3 linked regions of the Tribolium castaneum genome follow. The protein of the gene in region 1 interacts with the protein of each later gene in a biochemical or structural test. Links are inferred from orthologs where the notes say so. Each region holds a gene or a part of one and is shown on either strand. Other genes may lie near its edges.

What was found.
Region 2: the proteins of Bx42 (region 1) and Su(H) form a complex in vitro, tested with the Homo sapiens proteins (2 studies listed by BioGRID). The link is inferred for Tribolium castaneum from reciprocal best matches to the Homo sapiens genes SNW1 and RBPJ.
Region 3: the proteins of Bx42 (region 1) and Cypl form a complex in vitro, tested with the Homo sapiens proteins (2 studies listed by IntAct, with this or other methods). The link is inferred for Tribolium castaneum from reciprocal best matches to the Homo sapiens genes SNW1 and PPIL1.

What each region holds. Positions count from the first base shown.
Region 1 is NC_087397.1:9,847,511-9,852,849, reverse strand, and holds Bx42 (puff-specific protein Bx42), read left to right. Parts: upstream 1-1,389; 5' UTR 1,390-1,697; coding exon 1,698-1,711; intron 1,712-1,763; coding exon 1,764-1,927; intron 1,928-2,070; coding exon 2,071-3,494; 3' UTR 3,495-3,542; downstream 3,543-5,339. Other genes in the region: qm (terpene synthase), read left to right, coding at 1-183; ATP-binding cassette sub-family F member 1, read right to left, coding at 3,553-3,703, 3,972-4,315, 4,360-4,538, 4,589-5,001, 5,059-5,198. UniProt on the Homo sapiens protein: Involved in pre-mRNA splicing as component of the spliceosome. As a component of the minor spliceosome, involved in the splicing of U12-type introns in pre-mRNAs.
Region 2 is NC_087398.1:4,882,926-4,889,477, reverse strand, and holds Su(H) (suppressor of hairless protein), read left to right. Parts: upstream 1-2,619; 5' UTR 2,620-2,936; coding exon 2,937-3,782; intron 3,783-4,857; coding exon 4,858-5,535; 3' UTR 5,536-6,083; downstream 6,084-6,552. Other genes in the region: DNA excision repair protein ERCC-5 homolog, read right to left, coding at 1-1,580, 1,640-1,815, 1,880-1,967. UniProt on the Homo sapiens protein: Transcriptional regulator that plays a central role in Notch signaling, a signaling pathway involved in cell-cell communication that regulates a broad spectrum of cell-fate determinations.
Region 3 is NC_087394.1:31,301,282-31,306,208, forward strand, and holds Cypl (uncharacterized protein Cypl), read right to left. Parts: upstream 2,362-4,927; 5' UTR 2,257-2,361; coding exon 2,177-2,256; intron 2,129-2,176; coding exon 1,681-2,128; 3' UTR 1,634-1,680; downstream 1-1,633. Other genes in the region: metallophosphoesterase domain-containing protein 1, read right to left, coding at 1-17, 448-674, 727-991, 1,037-1,313; condensin complex subunit 2, read right to left, coding at 2,603-2,791, 2,843-3,049, 3,100-3,280, 3,378-3,869, 3,920-4,078, 4,131-4,585, 4,877-4,927. UniProt on the Homo sapiens protein: Involved in pre-mRNA splicing as component of the spliceosome. PPIases accelerate the folding of proteins. Catalyzes the cis-trans isomerization of proline imidic peptide bonds in oligopeptides. Catalyzes prolyl peptide bond isomerization in CDC40/PRP17.

The DNA.
Region 1 (5,339 bases):
CAAAGAACTAAAGACAATGAAGTAAAGAAATACTGCGTTTCGTTGCTTGAGAAATACGGAAGTTTTGATTACACGAAGAAAGTGTTGGCAGAACTGAAGCAAGAGGCCCAAGATGAAGTTGATAAGTTGGGGGAAAACCCGTACATGGCCGAAGTAATGGAGTATATTTTTAAGTTGGAATAATTTTTTCATGATCAAATTAAATTATTGTGATATCTATATTAAGTTGCTACAATAAACACTATTTCATCGATTGTTCCTTTTTTTTGTTATTATGGAGCAAACAGACACCGTGTACTGTCTGTGCTAAGACTAATTTTCTTTCTCTGAGTACTGAATAGTTAGTCAAAAAACGTTACTAAAATTAGTACCGCACCTTACAATTTCTGCATAAGAATGCTTTATTTCACCTTTTGAAGCGTCAAAATGTTTAAATTAAAGCTATAATTAATACTCAACTAAAATGTGCACTTACCAAAGAAGGGTGGAAATATTCCTGCAAATGTTCCTCCTCTGAATAAGATTGTCTTTAAATAACGAGAAACAAACCCACTAACACCATAAATCCTTACTAATACACAAACTAAACACTAAAACAGCGTTAAACAAAAATAATGCTAAACTACAAAACATGACAGGTGCTAAAAGGCGCGCCGATATTGCAGCACTACCAACGTAACAGTGTAACAGAAGTACCAACACCAAAAAAGCGCGAATTTCAATAGTAAACAGCCTTCGGTTGAATATGTTTTAGTGTTTTTAGTTCAATTTAGTGCTAGACACAGTTCTACAGCGGTTAAAAATTACAGTGTGTTATGGTGTTAGTTCCAAAATTCAAATTTCACTTTAGTGCTCTAAGGCACTTATTTATATGTTGGAGAAGTACATTTTCAAAATTAGAAGTTCACAAACACCACCAATTATTGCCAATTATCAATGGCAACCGCACGATACATGAATGTTTTTCTAAATTTTTGGAAAAATATTAAAAAATTTATTGTTTTTTGTTTATTCTACGTAAGTAAAGGGTCTGCTTGTTGAAGTAACTAGTAGCTAAAAGTCTGTGAGTGGTTGTGCATCTTTTTTTTTGGGGATACCCTCACGTTAAAAATACAGACTGATCCAGAAATACTGAGTCTGTTGGCGACACTGGACTTAAATTTTTAAGGATACTAATGGAATACGCTTCCAGTTAACAACAATTTAACATTCTTGTGGGGTTGTACGTCAAATAGTTGTCAAGAAAAATCGAATTCGGTTGCAATGTTACAAATTACAAGCACAAACACTTTCAAATGTGTTGCCAACAGACTCAGTATTTCTGGATCAGTCTGTATTTTCGAACTTATAGAACTTCGGAACAAACAATCTATGCTCAACCGCGCCCTCTACAAATCATTCCGTCTATTTGACGTTTTAGTAGTGGCGTTAATTTGGGTGTATTTATAAAACAGAATTACACACAATAATCCATTACTTAGTTGCGTTTTTTAAGTACAAATTGCTTTGAATATCGCACAGCGATAATATAATATCAAGATTTTGCGGAAATTGTTTTCCCGAAAGCCACTGTTGTGCAATCGATTTTTACATATTTTCCGATTTACTAGTGAAGTAAAACAATAAAAACTTACATTAATGAGTGCAGTGTGAATATTTTACGCTATTGTCAAGTTTTTGCTGATTTAGGAAAAGAAATGGAATTATCCAGGTAACCTAACCTCACTTTTGGGCTTGTAGAGTAAGACGCATTTATTTTGTAGTTTATTGCCCGCCCCCATACAACCCGTATGGGATCGGGACGACGAGAGACGGCAACAGAATGCCACAACTCAACGTTCCACATCTGTTGTAACAGCCCAAAGCATTGCCCCACCGTATGGACAAAGAAGGGGTTGGGTCCCACGAGTCCACACCGACTATGGAGGTAATTAGCCACCGATTTTTTGTAATTAAATTTAACTACGATGGGACCAACTTTTTTGATTGGTCCTATTAAATTTTATTACAAATAATCAGTCAAGGACGTCGAAAAGTTTTCACTATCACTGATTTTATTGCAATTTATAGATGGAGGCGCATTTCCCGAAATCCACGTGGCCCAGTACCCTCTTGACATGGGGCGAAAGGGCAAAGAATCAACTTCAAACGCCTTGGCCGTCCAATTGGACGCAGAAGGCAAAGTCAAATACGACGTAATCGCACGTCAAGGCCACGGCAAAGACAAAATCGTCTATTCAAAACTCTCCGATTTGTTACCAGTTGAAGTAACCACAGAAAATGACCCAAGTCTTGCTAAACCATCTCAGGAGGAAATCGAAGATATCACAGAAAAAACCCGTCAAGCATTACAACGCCTAACAAATTCAAAAATCGCAGCTGCAATGCCAGTCAGATGTGCCGAAAAACAAGGCCCCGCTGAATTTATTCGTTACACCCCTTCACAACAAGGGGCCGCCTTCAACTCGGGTGCCAAACAGCGCGTCATTCGTTTGGTCGAAGCACAAGTTGATCCAATGGAGCCCCCACGTTTCAAGATCAATAAGAAGATCCCAAGGGGGCCCCCTTCGCCCCCAGCGCCCGTTTTGCACAGCCCCACACGTCGTGTCACTGTTAAGGAGCAAAAGGAGTGGAAAATCCCGCCCTGTATTTCAAATTGGAAAAATGCAAAGGGTTACACAGTTCCGTTAGATAAGCGTTTAGCTGCAGATGGTCGGGGGTTGCAACAGTTGCACATCAACGAGAATTTCGCAAAGTTGGCTGAGGCTCTATATATTGCCGATAGAAAAGCACGAGAGGCTGTGGAAACACGCGCCCAACTCGAGAAAAAACTAGCTCAGAAGGAAAAGGAACAAAAGGAGGAGCATTTGAGACAGTTGGCTCAAAAAGCTCGAGATGAACGTGCTGGGATCAAAGTCGCTGATGCTAAAATCACAGATGAGGAGGAACGTGAGAGAGAAATGCTGAGACAGGACCGGCATAAGGAGCGAGCAAGAGAGAGAAACTTGGCAAGGGCTGCTCCCGATAAGCGTTCAAAGTTGAAGAGGGAGCGAGAGCGAGATATTTCCGAGCAGATTGCTTTGGGGATGCCTGCCAGAGGAGTCTCCTCAAACGAGGTGCAGTTTGATCAGAGATTATTCGGACAGGCTCAAGGTTTGGGGCATGGATATGGGGACGATGACGCGTATAATGTTTATGATAAGCCGTGGAGGGAGGGGGGCTCAATGGCCAATCACTTGTACAGACCTAGTAGGAATGTGGATAAGGAGGTATACGGTGAAGATTTGGAGAAAATCGTCAAAACGAACCGATTTGTTCCGGATAAGGAGTTTAGTGGAACTGATCGGAATGCGCCAAGGTCTGGACCTGTACAATTTGAGAAAGAGGAAGATCCGTTCGGGTTAGATCAGTTCTTGAGTCAGGCTAAACGGGCGAGCAAACGCAAGGAACCGGAGAGGAGGGATGAGAGGGATAAGCGAAAGAGAAGAGATTAAAATATTGATTGTATTTGGGTTTTTTAAATAAATACAATTGTAGAAATTTTTTGTTGTATTATTGAGCAATGGCAGCGTTTGCTGCAATACTTGGGCTGTTGATGACTTCACCCAGACTCTCCAAGAGCTCTTTGCGGTAGTCGTCGAAGTCGCCGTCTAATTCGTTTATGGTCTGGTCTTCTATTACGTACAAGGCGCAATCAGTTTCACTGTAACAAAATTAGTAATTTTTTTTTACACAAAACAATAAAATTGAGTTTTATGGTCGAGCCGAAATTGTTACAAAAACTCGATGGAATTTCATCTTAATTTAAATTAACGAACAAATTAAGTAGCTAATGCAAATTAAAAATTAAATTCACTTCTAATAGTGCTGGTAAACGCATACTTCGCAGCCTGAAATTAGGACGAAAAATATAAAATTTCTATAAAGGGAGGCGAAAAAAGAAAAGAAAGAGTACATTTATTTGCTCTTACCGTATAAGTCGTTCGTCGTGGCTCACTATAATAACCCCTCCACTGAAGTCGTTAATGGCCTCAGCTAGTGCATCAATCGATTCAATATCTAAATTATTCGTCGGTTCATCCAAAATGAGAACATCCGGTGCGTTAAGACACAATTCGGCTAAAGCCACTCGTGCTTTCTGTCCCCCGGACAAGTCCTTCATTTTGATAGTGTGAGCATGACTCGCTAGACCAAAAGTCCCCAATTGCTTTCGGGATTTTTCGTACGGCAGATCAAACAATCGCATCAGATATTCAGCGGGTGTTTCTTCGGCCGTTAAATGCTCACCTGAATGTTGATCAAAACGACCAATCCTCTAAAAAAAAAATCACAAATCGAAAAATTAATCACAAAAATTACCAAACGATGATTTTTCCGGACTTCCCCTTGTTGCGGGTCCAAATCACCGGTTAATAATTTCAAAAATGTGGATTTTCCGACTCCGTTCGGACCAACTATTGCCACTCTGCTGCTCATATCGATACCGAAGTCGGTGTTTCGGAAGAGGGGTTTTTGGCCCGAATATGCAAAAGTTACGTCTGAAATATTTTTTTTTATTTTATGCCATATTTTATGACTTAGAACGTACTATGAAGCCCCAAAATTGGGGGTTGTAGAGGCGGAGGTTCCGGAAATGAAAATTTGACGAAATATTCTTTCGGTTTTTGTAGAAGTTCAGTTGGGGCTGTTTCGTCCTCTTGTTTCTGCATTTTCGTTCTGTTCTTCTCCTGTTTTCGCGTCAAAGCCTCTTTTTGTTTCTTTTCGGCTTGTTTTTTCGACGATCCGTGTGCCTTTAACTCTTTCAAACGTTTTTCCTGCTTCTCGTATTCTTTAATCATTTCTTTGCGTTTTTGTTGGTACATTTTTTTAAACATTGAGTAATTCCCTTTGTAATAATACAACTTTTGATTATCTAAATGGATAATTTCATTACAAACATTATCTAAGAATGACTGGTCGTGTGAAACGATAAGTAGAGTTTTTTTCCACCCTTGCAAATAACTGAAAGCAAAATCATAATAACTTTTTCACAAAAAATTAAACCAAAATAAAACGTACTTATCCAACCAAATAACTGCATTCAAATCTAAATGATTCGTTGGTTCATCAAGAAGTAATAAAGTGGGTTCTATATACAACGCTCTGGCTAGTGACACTCTCATTCTCCATCCACCAGAAAAATTTTTAGTTGCTCTATCCTAAAAGTAATAAATACAATCTTTTACTTTTTGTGTGTGTTGTTCAAAATGACATTGGTAACTATGTTTTCAAAAAAATATTAAATAAATAAATAAAATAAATGTAACCTGATCCGAAATAGCGTTTACAATGTAACTTTA
Region 2 (6,552 bases), on another chromosome or scaffold:
TCTTTGAGTGACTGACCTGACGGTCTCTCTTCAATTGGTTTTTCTTTCTCCACTTCTTTAAAAGCATCTTCAGTACTACTTGAAACCTCCGTTTTCTCTTCAACTTCCTCAAATACGTCCTTGAAGAGATCGTCTTCAATTTCTTCATCTGGCTTTATCACGACCTCCATAGCAATCTCTCCGTTGGTACTTTTCTTCTCCTTTTCTTCATCTACATCTACAAAGTCCTCATCGTTGCTAGAGGCAGAATCTGACATCACCTCAACTGTATCTTCACTGACGATAGAAGTGGTAACTTTATCTTCATCTAATTCCGCAATATCTTCAATACTGTCTTTGGTAATTTCACTACAAACATTTGTACTTCCAGTCTTGTCTGTTTCTTCTGTTATTTCTTCATTATCCTTAGTAATATCAGAACTACTACCAGTTTTATCTGCTTCCTCTTTGCTTTCTTCAGGTTCCTTAGCAATGCTACTAGAAATATCAGAACTACTACTGGCTTTATCTGTTTCTTCTTTCCTTTCTTCAGGTTCTTTAATAATGCTACTAGAAACACCAGAACTACTCTCTTCACTGACTTTCTTCATTGCTCCACTTTTACTGGCAATAATTTTGGCAATTTCGCTGGGAGTCAGCCCACTGTACTCCATCATGTATCTCTGAGCTGGTGTTAACTTCGTACGAATTACTTCTTCTTCTTCACTGGAGTCCGAATTTCCAAAATCAGCATCTTCAAGAAACGATAACGACAATCGTTTCTTCCCCCTAGAACTGGACGGTTCCTCCCGATTGTCTTTCGTTTTTGATGTCGACGGTTCCGCCTCCAAAGACAAGGCTATGGCCTTCTTCAAATCGTCTTCAAATTCTTGCTCCCCTTTATTCTTCACATTCTGTCCCTCGTCGCATTCTTCGCTTTCTTCAATCGTTGGTAAATCCTGCTTTTTGGCCTCCTCCACGGCCTGCTTGATGTCTTTGATTAAAAGAAACCGCGTGTTTTCGTCCGAAGCGATCCGACTGCCTTTCAAGTTCGTTATAACCCCCTGGTCTTTGAGCAATTTTTCCAGCTCGCCCAGCGATAGAGAATGGCCCCCCATTTCTTTTTCGACGTCTTCAAGGGCGGTTTGCACCGACTGCCTCTTCAAGAGTCGTTTCATTTGATAGGTGGAGAAGTTGTCACTTTGAGTGGGCATTTCGTGGATGCGCCCCCATGAAGACTGCTTCCGTGTGTCCTTCAAGTCGGAGAGGATTTCGTGCCGGACGTCGGCCGGTAGCGACTTGAATTCGGCACTTTCCGTGTCAATTGAATGCAAGTCGTATCGGGGAAGCCCCGAGTCTTCCGAATCCGAGTCACTTTGTGACAATGTGGAGTCGAGAGACTGGGACGGGGGCAAGGCGTAAAGCTCGTCATCGTCTTGTTTTGATTTTTTAGTGGGAGAAGTTGAGGCGGTTATTGCCGCTTTGGCTTTTTCGGACAAGACTTTGCTAATCGCGGTGTGTTTGACTAAGGCTGATAGGAGGTTTTTGTGGATGCGGTCCGCCTCGGACAAGGTTTTGGACTTTTGCTGGTTGCGTAACGCCTGGGAATTTGCGGGAAAATGCAACTGAGGTTATGTTTTTTTCTCATTATTTTACTCACTATGGTTTGTCTTTTGAGAACTGGGACGCCTCCGTCGAAGACAAACACCGGCTTGATTCTGAAATAGAGTAATTTGCATACTCTGTGGTAGATCCCCAGCAGGTGCGCATGGGGGACGGCGGCCCCCTTGGCGTCCTGGAACCCCTTGACGATTTGGTGCAACCAAATCGAGACATCTGTCAGATTGCGTTAAGGTTATAACCGATCAAGCGTGACGTTTGAAATGTCAATAAAGGATACCGACAGCTAACACTTTGTTTTCGAGAGATTCCAGAGGCACGGGTTTGCCGGAAGGCTCGATGAGCCTCCACAGACCGTGAACTCCCATAATATATTTTCTGGTAAATAATTCGAGGCGTCTGATGGAAAAAATTCCCACGGTCTGAGGCGGCGATGAACGACCGCGACACGAACGTCAGTCAGTTCCCATGATTTAGATGCGAAGAATCATCAAATCAGAGGAAAACAGACCTAATCTCGTCCAGCGGTCTGAATTACATCTCTCAGTATCAAATGTTTGAGAATCGCCGAGGCCACCCACTCTTTCCCACACCATGATTTTCCCACGCCCTGGCTGTAACCCCAACATCCTGCGGGAGGGCAGGGGGGCGGCGCTAAAGGCACCTTCACAAGGGAGGGGACCCATTCATAAACACGCGGCCAGTGGCGTGCGCCCAAACGCCAATAAAACCACCACATTCTTTTGTCAGGCAGCGGCGCCGCGAACTTCCTAATACTGCTATCTTTGTTAGAACTTTTTAGTTTTCTTCTTTTTAGAAATAAACATTATTTATAATAATAATTGGCACCTAATTAGATCAATTAGATTAGGTATCAAGGTAGAAAATCCCTCACTAGGATTAATCCTCCAGTGGCGTCTCGCCTCCGCCCCTGTTGTGTCATCCACTACCGTTTTACGCGTGTTAGGTGTAAACCCGCCTTAACGCTACCAAAATTACATAATTTTCAGCGACCGCCGCGCCCGCCCCGCCCGCCCCGCCCATGGCCCATGCAGACCCATCAGCCCATCTTGGGCCCTCTTGAGCGTTAAAAAATTCCAAGAACGCGTTAATTCGGGCACTTCCTGTGAAAACTCGCCTTTTGAAAGTTGGCCATCCTGTCGGAAAATCCTCTCTCCAAACAGGTGTTTTTCGAATGAGATACGGGGGGCAAAGGAGGGGGAAGCATGGCATTTGTTCTCACCGTGTGTTGCGGTAGCCGTGCGAAGAGTTGGCTGTGAGTGCATCGATAAAACAAACGCCAGTGCGATGCGGCCTACTTGATTAAGTGTTTCGAAATGCCCCATCAGTACGGATTGCCGGGCATAGCCCACGCTCAGTCGCCCCCGACGCCGCCGCCGCAGCACGGGGCCATGTACTCGCGGTTCTCGGGGGCGGTGGTGCCCGGGGGCTACCGCGGCGAGGACCGGCGGCTGACCCGGGAGGCCATGGAGCGGTATCTGCGGGACCGGTCCGACATGGTCATCGTGATTTTGCACGCCAAGGTGGCGCAGAAGTCCTACGGGAATGAGAAGAGGTTTTTCTGTCCGCCCCCTTGCATTTATCTGTTCGGGGACGGCTGGAGGCTGCGCCAGGAGCAGATGCTGCGGGAGGGCGAGTCCGAGCAGGCCTCGCAGTTATGCGCTTTCATAGGGATTGGGAACTCGGACCAGGACATGCAGCAGCTGGATTTGAATAATGGGAAGCAGTATTGTGCCGCGAAAACTCTCTACATCTCCGATTCGGACAAGAGGAAACACTTTATGTTGTCCGTGAAGATGTTCTACGGGTCGGGGCACGACATCGGGGTGTTTCATAGCAAAAGAATCAAAGTTATCTCGAAGCCTTCAAAGAAGAAACAATCGTTGAAAAACGCGGATTTGTGTATTGCGAGTGGTACCAAAGTGGCGCTTTTTAACAGACTTAGATCTCAGACTGTCTCCACGCGGTATCTGCACGTGGAAAATGGACATTTTCATGCCAGTTCCACACAGTGGGGTGCTTTCACTATACACTTGTTAGACGACAATGAATCTGAAAGTGAGGAGTTTCAAGTACGGGATGGGTACATTCATTACGGTTCTACAGTCAAACTGGTGTGTTCTGTCACCGGAATGGCCCTCCCGAGACTTATCATTCGAAAGGTACGTTTGAAAAAAACATCAACAAAAAATTGAGGTTATGATTCGGCAACATGTCAATCTTTATATTCCCCATAATTACGCAAAGGAACGCTCCCTGCAAGCAGTTACGGCCATACCATGACCGAATTCAGACAAAATAATGATTTTCCAGATGATTCATTGCACAAAATTCGATATTTCGATACAAATGTTGACCCAGCCCGTGATTGGCCCATTTGAGAACACATGTCGGTTCCCATCCTATCAAAACTCGCCGCTCACGCGGGCGATTCGAAGCCTATTTTGGGGAAAGAAAAACCTACTAAAATAATACAAACTATTGTAATTTTCAAGAAACACAAAATATTATGTTTTTTCAGCCATTAAAATTACAAATGTGCTTTCTTAATACTCATAATAATAATTAAATATTTCACCACGTCATTGACTTTCTTATGCTGGATGTTCAAGATTTTTTTTTTTGTCATAATTTCGTCCGCATATCATTTTTAATGCCTTTAAAAAGCATAACATGCCTCTCGACAACATCAGATTTCTCCCTAGTCTTCCTACGCTAATTACGAATAAACTCTTAATACTCTTTTTCACCGACCTCATCAGAAAATATCGTAAAGAAAGAAAGCTAATTTCTCGCCAAAATGTCAGAAGAAGCCCCAAATCTTTATTTTGTTTCTACATTTGGTGATTCTCTACTACGCTCTGCAGGACTTGGAATCCGCCGATTTTGAGACACCTTGTATTTATTCTTTATCTTACTTACACTTTAAGGAACCCGTTGAAATACAGCTACATTATTATTAGAATTATTTAAGTTGTGTATAATTTGACAGTTCTCCAGTTACGATTTATCTTTACTTGGTCAAGTATTAATTGAAAAAATTGTGATTGAAACTTCCTATAATTCCTGACGGTATTTTTTTTATTTTCCACTTTTTTACGTTTGTACAGGTCATCGTATTGCAAATTTTTAACGTATTGTAATATAATTGTTCTCTTCTCTTTGTGGCGTCTTTTTTTGTTTCGTAGTTTGTGTTTTTTGGTTCAATTTTGTAAAGCGTTTGTTGTTTTGGTCCAGGTGGACAAGCAGCAGGCGCTCCTCGAAGCCGACGACCCCGTGTCCCAGCTGCACAAATGCGCCTTTTACATGAAAGACACCGAACGCATGTACCTCTGCCTCTCCCAAGAGCGCATCATCCAGTTCCAGGCCACCCCTTGCCCCAAAGAGCCCAACAAGGAGATGATCAACGACGGCGCCTGCTGGACCATCATCTCCACCGACAAGGCCGAGTACCAGTTCTACGAGGGCATGGGCCCCGTGCGCTCCCCCGTGACCCCCGTGCCCATCGTGCACAGCCTGCACTTGAACGGCGGCGGCGAAGTGGCGATGCTGGAGCTCACGGGCGACAACTTCTCGCCGTCCCTGCAGGTGTGGTTCGGGGACGTGGAGGCCGAGACCATGTACCGGTGCCAGGAGTCCATGCTGTGCGTGGTCCCGGACATCTCGCAGTTCCGGGGCGAGTGGCTGTGGGTGCGGCAGCCGACCCAGGTCCCGGTCTCCTTGGTGCGGAACGACGGGATTATCTATGCCACGGGGTTGACGTTCACGTATACGCCGGAGCCGGGGCCCCGACCGCAGTGTTTGCCTGCGGACGAGATCATGAGGCATGGGCAGAGGAGCGCGGCGGCGGCGCAGGGGCAGAGCCAGGCGCTGACGCAGGAGGCGGCGTGGAACTCGCACGGAGGGATGCATTAGGGGGTGGGTAGGTAGATGCAATAAAGTTAGGTAGGGTGTACAACGACCATTGTGTTTTTTCTCGAGTGGACACTCAGTATTAAATTTTGAGATTGGAAGTGGCACGAGTCTTCTGTATTATGATTTATTGTGATATGTTTTTTGAGTAGGCGGTCGTAGAGAAGCAAAAGTTGGTATCAATTTTTCCTTATTTTTTAATTGATGCAGTTGACCGGCCTAAGACTTGTAGGATGTGTTTCTACAGCGGTGTAAAGAGATACTTAGCCTTATGAACAAACCAAAGTTATGTAAGTTTTCTAATTGTCAGTCAGAATGAATAGTCCAACAATTTTTACTTAGTATTAAGTAAATTATGCTCAATTTGCCGATGAATAATAAATAATAGGTAATAAAAAATCTCGACAGGAAAACATGACAACAACGAATTTATGGCAAATGTAATGAGTGTAAATATCTTTATTAGAATTAGTTTTATTCTACGTAAAATAATACATAAACAAACTGTACATGCTGCATATTTTGTAGAAATAAAAACTATTTGAATAATATCACCATTCTTCAAACCCCTAACAGAAAAAAAATCACAGTGAGTACGGAAGGCCTTCCGCATTTTCACATCCATTCAAGTCAGTTCTCACGACAAAATCTCATTTTCTTGAAAATGATTATTCATACATGTGGGAATTCGGGTCTTAACAATGGTATTATTTTTAATAATTGCTTTTCCTACTGTATATTAATTAGTCGGTCCCATTCCCACAATTGAGGTGGGAATTCTCATCTCATTTGATTCTTAAACTTCTGTTTGCTCATGTAAGTGAGGGAGATATAGGGGGTCACAAGGTCGCCCAAGTTATAGCTAAGGGAGGTTTCGCAAGGAGTCTCTGACGATGGTTTTGTGGCAGTATGTGTTGCCCGAAGGGCTGGGTGACGAGGATTTTCTAAGACGCAGTTCGATTAATTGGCGATGTTAATTAAGTAAATAATTGAGTTAAGCAGTTAATGAATGAACATGCA
Region 3 (4,927 bases), on another chromosome or scaffold:
CGAGAACACTCCATAACCTGGCGAAATAAAAGGAGCGGTAAAATGAGTTTCTTCTCTAGGTGGCACCTAACTGAAGAGAATTTTTACCGATGGTTTGATTTATTAATTAATGAAATTTTGTAAGAAAAAAACCTTGACAAAGTTTTATTAAAAAATCGAAACGTCGAAACACTTCCTACGACTGTTATGGAATAACAATTTTCTGGGAGGATATTCTAACACTTTAGTTTTTGACGAACGGCAAAATTTAGAAGTCTACTACAATTATCATTCACGTTCTCTGTTGTAGTTGTTTCTAACTTAAACTTATCGAGTTTTGGAAATTAGCCAGGCGCTTAATCCACCTCTACAGCAGAACAATAAACAAACATTGAACTTTCAAGTAGGTTGGAATTTAGATAAATGTTCAAATTGGTTGAAATACAGATTGAGTGTAAACTAACTTGCCTTCATGTATGTGTCCGAAAACGTGATATTTGGGTTTGACCCTTTGTTGGACCGTCGTTAACAACTCTACGCATCCAGCTCTAACCCCCGAACAGACCAAATCGCCAAACCCCAGAGGCGGCGTATGAGTTATTAAAACGTCCGTATCGTTTGGAATCAAATTCCACTTGGAAAGACACTCTTCACCCCTCTCTAAATTAAAAGCCCAGCCACCGAATTCAGGTTGCCTGTAATAATTTACACAAATTTTATTGTTTTACGTAAATTCCGTGAAATTACCAAGGAGTTCCGTACAGTTTTATGCCATAAATATCAATCCCCGAATCTTCCAAATACGTGCAATTTGTTAAATACTGCCTGATGTTATCAGTATTGACTGCATCACTGATGTTATCTTTCGTATTGCCATAATTGGGGACTTCATCTTCGAGTGATCCGGTGTGTCTTGCACTCGCCGTTTTTTTGAAATAATCAGAGAATTTTTTATCGAAACTCAATTCGTGATTGCCGCTGATTACAATCTTGTGTTTGTGGGGCAAAGATACTGGAAGTAGGCAAATAGAATGATAAATTTTCCAGCACAACCCACCTAGCCATTTATTAAACTGCATCACTTCCTCTTTCTGGCCACATTTCGTAAAATCCCCAGCGTGGATGAACACATCGCCGTCGGGTACGTCGAACACCAGGTTTCTTATAAGGGAGTGGGTGTCGCTCATACAAACGAATCGTACTTTATTTGGTTCCACAGGTTTTGAGGGAGACTTGACATTGAGCTTGATAATTTTTTGGTTCTTTGATATTTCCCTCCACGCCGCGGTAGGGTTACTTGTTAGTTTGTGGACCGGGATAGTGCCGTTTTCCATCTCTTGTTACGTTCTGATCGCGAATTACCCAACTTCCAAGGACTGTTATAAATATCAGGCTAGAGTAATTGTGTTAAGTTTGATTTTACTGTCAGTGCCTATGAGTCGTCATCAAAAATCATTTTGCAATGGAAATTGGGCACAAGACGTTTACTTTTAGTTTAAATTCTTTTGAAATGCGAGTTTAAATTTTGCAAGCATTTTATTGACAAACTGCCATATGGACTTTGACATTGACAGGTGGTTCAGGTTAGTGACTTTGTTTTCCTTAAATTTAATTTCTAACTGCAGGCGCTAATTCAAATAAAGAAATAAAACTCTTGTTAGTTCGTATTTTTTATTAATTTTCGCATTATATAAAAATCACTTAGTTCTTAATAACTTTTCCCCTTATTATCTTCACTTCATCAACAGGCCTATCATTTTTGTCGGTCTCCACTAGCCCTATCCTCTTCACAACGTTCATTCCTGACTGAATTCGCCCAAAAATCGCGTGTTTCCCGTCCAACCACTGCGTAGGCGCCAAAGTGATGAAAAACTGTGACCCGTTGGTGTCAGGGCCCGAATTGGCCATTGACAAAATTCCAGCCCCGCTGTGTTTCAACTCTGGGTGTATTTCGTCCTTAAATGTCTGTCCGTAAATTGACAGCCCCCCTTTACCTGTCCCCGTGGGGTCCCCACCTTGTATCATAAAATCGCGTATAACCCGATGGAAAATTGTGTTGTTGTAGTAACCTCGCCTGGTCAATTCGGCAAAGTTTCGACACGTTTGTGGGGCGTGTTTCCAGTAAAGCTCAATTGTGATTTCGCCCATTCTGTGGAAAAGGGGTTAGTTTGGGAAAAAATCAAATTTAAAGACTTACGTCGTCTCGAATGCGACGAATGGGGGCTGCCACATCTTGTCTGGAATCCCAGACTGGTTCATGCCCTGAACGGCCAACATTTTTGTGATTTTTTAACGTTATTTATCTACAAATTGGAGGTTATAAAAGCGTAAACAGGAATATCAAGGGATTTTTTCTTGGCCATGTTGGTGTCCCGTGACACTGTTGTGTGGAAAGACGAAAGGCGAGAATGCACTCTCATGAGAATTCTTTACGTGAAAATTGTTTTTCACAATTTTTGTCTTTGTCTTTTTAGAAATATTTATTATGCAATACTTTTAGTACTATTTATTGTTTTACAGATCACAGAGAGTCGATTAAAACTTTAAAATTGTGTGTACTTAAAAATAAAACTACACAAACTAACAAATTATACAAATTAAGAGTAGAAAGAGAATAATAACTTTAATTTTGTGCGTCCATTACAATAAAATCTCCCTGATGGTCAATTGGTTTCAAACACAGATTATGGTCGTTGCAAAGATGCAGCAGAGACAAAATGCCCAAATGGGGGCTTAAATTCTTGCTCATTTCTGGAGCCAACACTGGTATCTGTTCATACACAGTGGAGAATCTCGTTGGTTTTACAGTCTCCTGTAACAAAAAGTATTAACTGAAACAAAAAAAAACCTTTAAATTAACCACCTGCTGCCCCCCAGTTAAGTGTTTCCAGATACAGGTTTTGAGTTTTTTCATGTCGATTTTTTTGGCATGCATTGCATACGTGACATGATTTACTGAAACAATTTCGGGGGCATCGACCAGATTTCCTTCCAAAAATTGTTGTTGCTCAACTGGTGGCATATCCTCCTCAAAGGAATGATCGCTTGCTCCATCATTTGCGTCATCGGTCTGTTACACAAAAATTTAAATGTTGTGTTTTTAGAATGGTGTTTACGTACGTTAGGTAGTGAGCAATAAAGCGAATCATTCGGGTTCTCATAGTTGTAGATTGGCACTTCAAAGTCGGGGTTCTTCTCGGTGGTGTTTGGTTTTGCAAAAAGTGTGTTAGGTTTCAAGGAAAAGAAGTTTTTCTTTTTTAGGAAACCGTCGACCCACCAATCAAGCACAGGATATGTAACCCTGTATTTAAAAAAATGTTAGGAAAAAACAAAAAATATTGTGCCTAACTTTTATTTTCCAATTTTGTTTATTTTAGTAGTAACTAACTGTTACTTACTTTTCAAAATCAGTCGTGCCAGGCCTTCTTTTTATAACAAATTTTTTCAATGATTTCGTCGTATCAAAAAATGGTTCTAGAAAATTAATCGGTTCCGGTTCGTTTTTCTTCCTTGTTTGTTTAACCACTTGTTGAACGGTACTTCCCGAATAACGTGCTGTCGATTTCTTAATAAATTTAACTTTCCAATGGCACGGTCCCGCCCAAATTTTATCAAAATACATTCCCGATTGTCCCCTTACAAGAGCGTTGTAACCGTAATCGGTTTCAATGCGATATTCTTGAGGTACCGCATCAGCTATATGATTAATACCATCATGTAATTGCATCTGAAACACTTCTTGTTGCTCCGTATCGCTGGTCGGATCGACGTCCATGGGAGCGTCGTCATTATCTGCAAAAATGTCAGGAATTGAACCGTCGAGCTCTGGAATAGGAACCCCATTCTCGTCCAGGGCGGCCGGTGGTACAGTGTTAAACGTTTCCTCCAGTCTGAAAATTATTAACAAATAAAACCCTGACGGCCACTTATTCAAACTTACAAGTTGGCTTCATCCTCAGGCGACCACGTCCCAATTTCAAAATTTTTAAAACGTACACATAAGTCAAATGACGACACTGGCGGCAAGTCATTATCAACAACTTGGTCTTGGTATTTTAAAATATCATCAGGTTTCGTAGTCCAATACTTTTCATTGCTCCTAAAACGCAAATACAAAACCAACTCTCATACAAGTGCGCCAATAAACTCACAACAACATGAATTTGTGACTGGCGGGGTTTACCGGAACCTTGGAAGTTAACAAATTATCAATTGCGCTAACTTCGATATTCTCTTTGGTAGCAAATACGACCGATTCCATCGGCTTGATTGGGCCAAACAGCGATTTACCCTCTTCGTCAATAATCGTTTTTTTATCGGCCAGAATTTTGAGGACTTTTTTACGCACTTGTCGCCTTTTTTCACGCGGGTTTTCAGTCACGTTGTCATCTTCAGCCGCCTGGGCTTGTTTTCGGTCACTTTTACCAACATTGCTAGCAAGTTGGATCGCTTTATTGTGGGCGTCGTCAATGCGCAAACTGTAGATTTTGGAGCCAACGTCCAGGGAAGAGCCAGCAACTTGCATAAGATTTGCCTGGTTTTGGGAGACGATTTTTCTGATTGCATCGATGATGTGCAGCTCCCAGGCGTTTCTCGAAGAAATTCTCTGAACAAAAATGTAGGAAATGGATCATGAAATAAGCCCACACGAAAAATGCCCATACGAGAAAATTCACACAGAAGTAAACCCACAATTAAAAAAGTCCACCCAGAAAAAAAACGCAATACCTATTAATTTACAACACAGATTATACTAAGTTCCTTTCTCTGTGGTTTTTTCGACATGGGCTTTTTTCTTTGTGAGCATTATTCCGTGTGTTTTTTTCTTGTGGGCTTTTTTCTGTACGCATTTTTCGTGTCACCGTACGGACTAAAGACAAGACGAAGCAGAACTCACATTTTCAGAGTACAGTTTCGTGCAAATACGCAACTGGTCTTGAATTTCGCG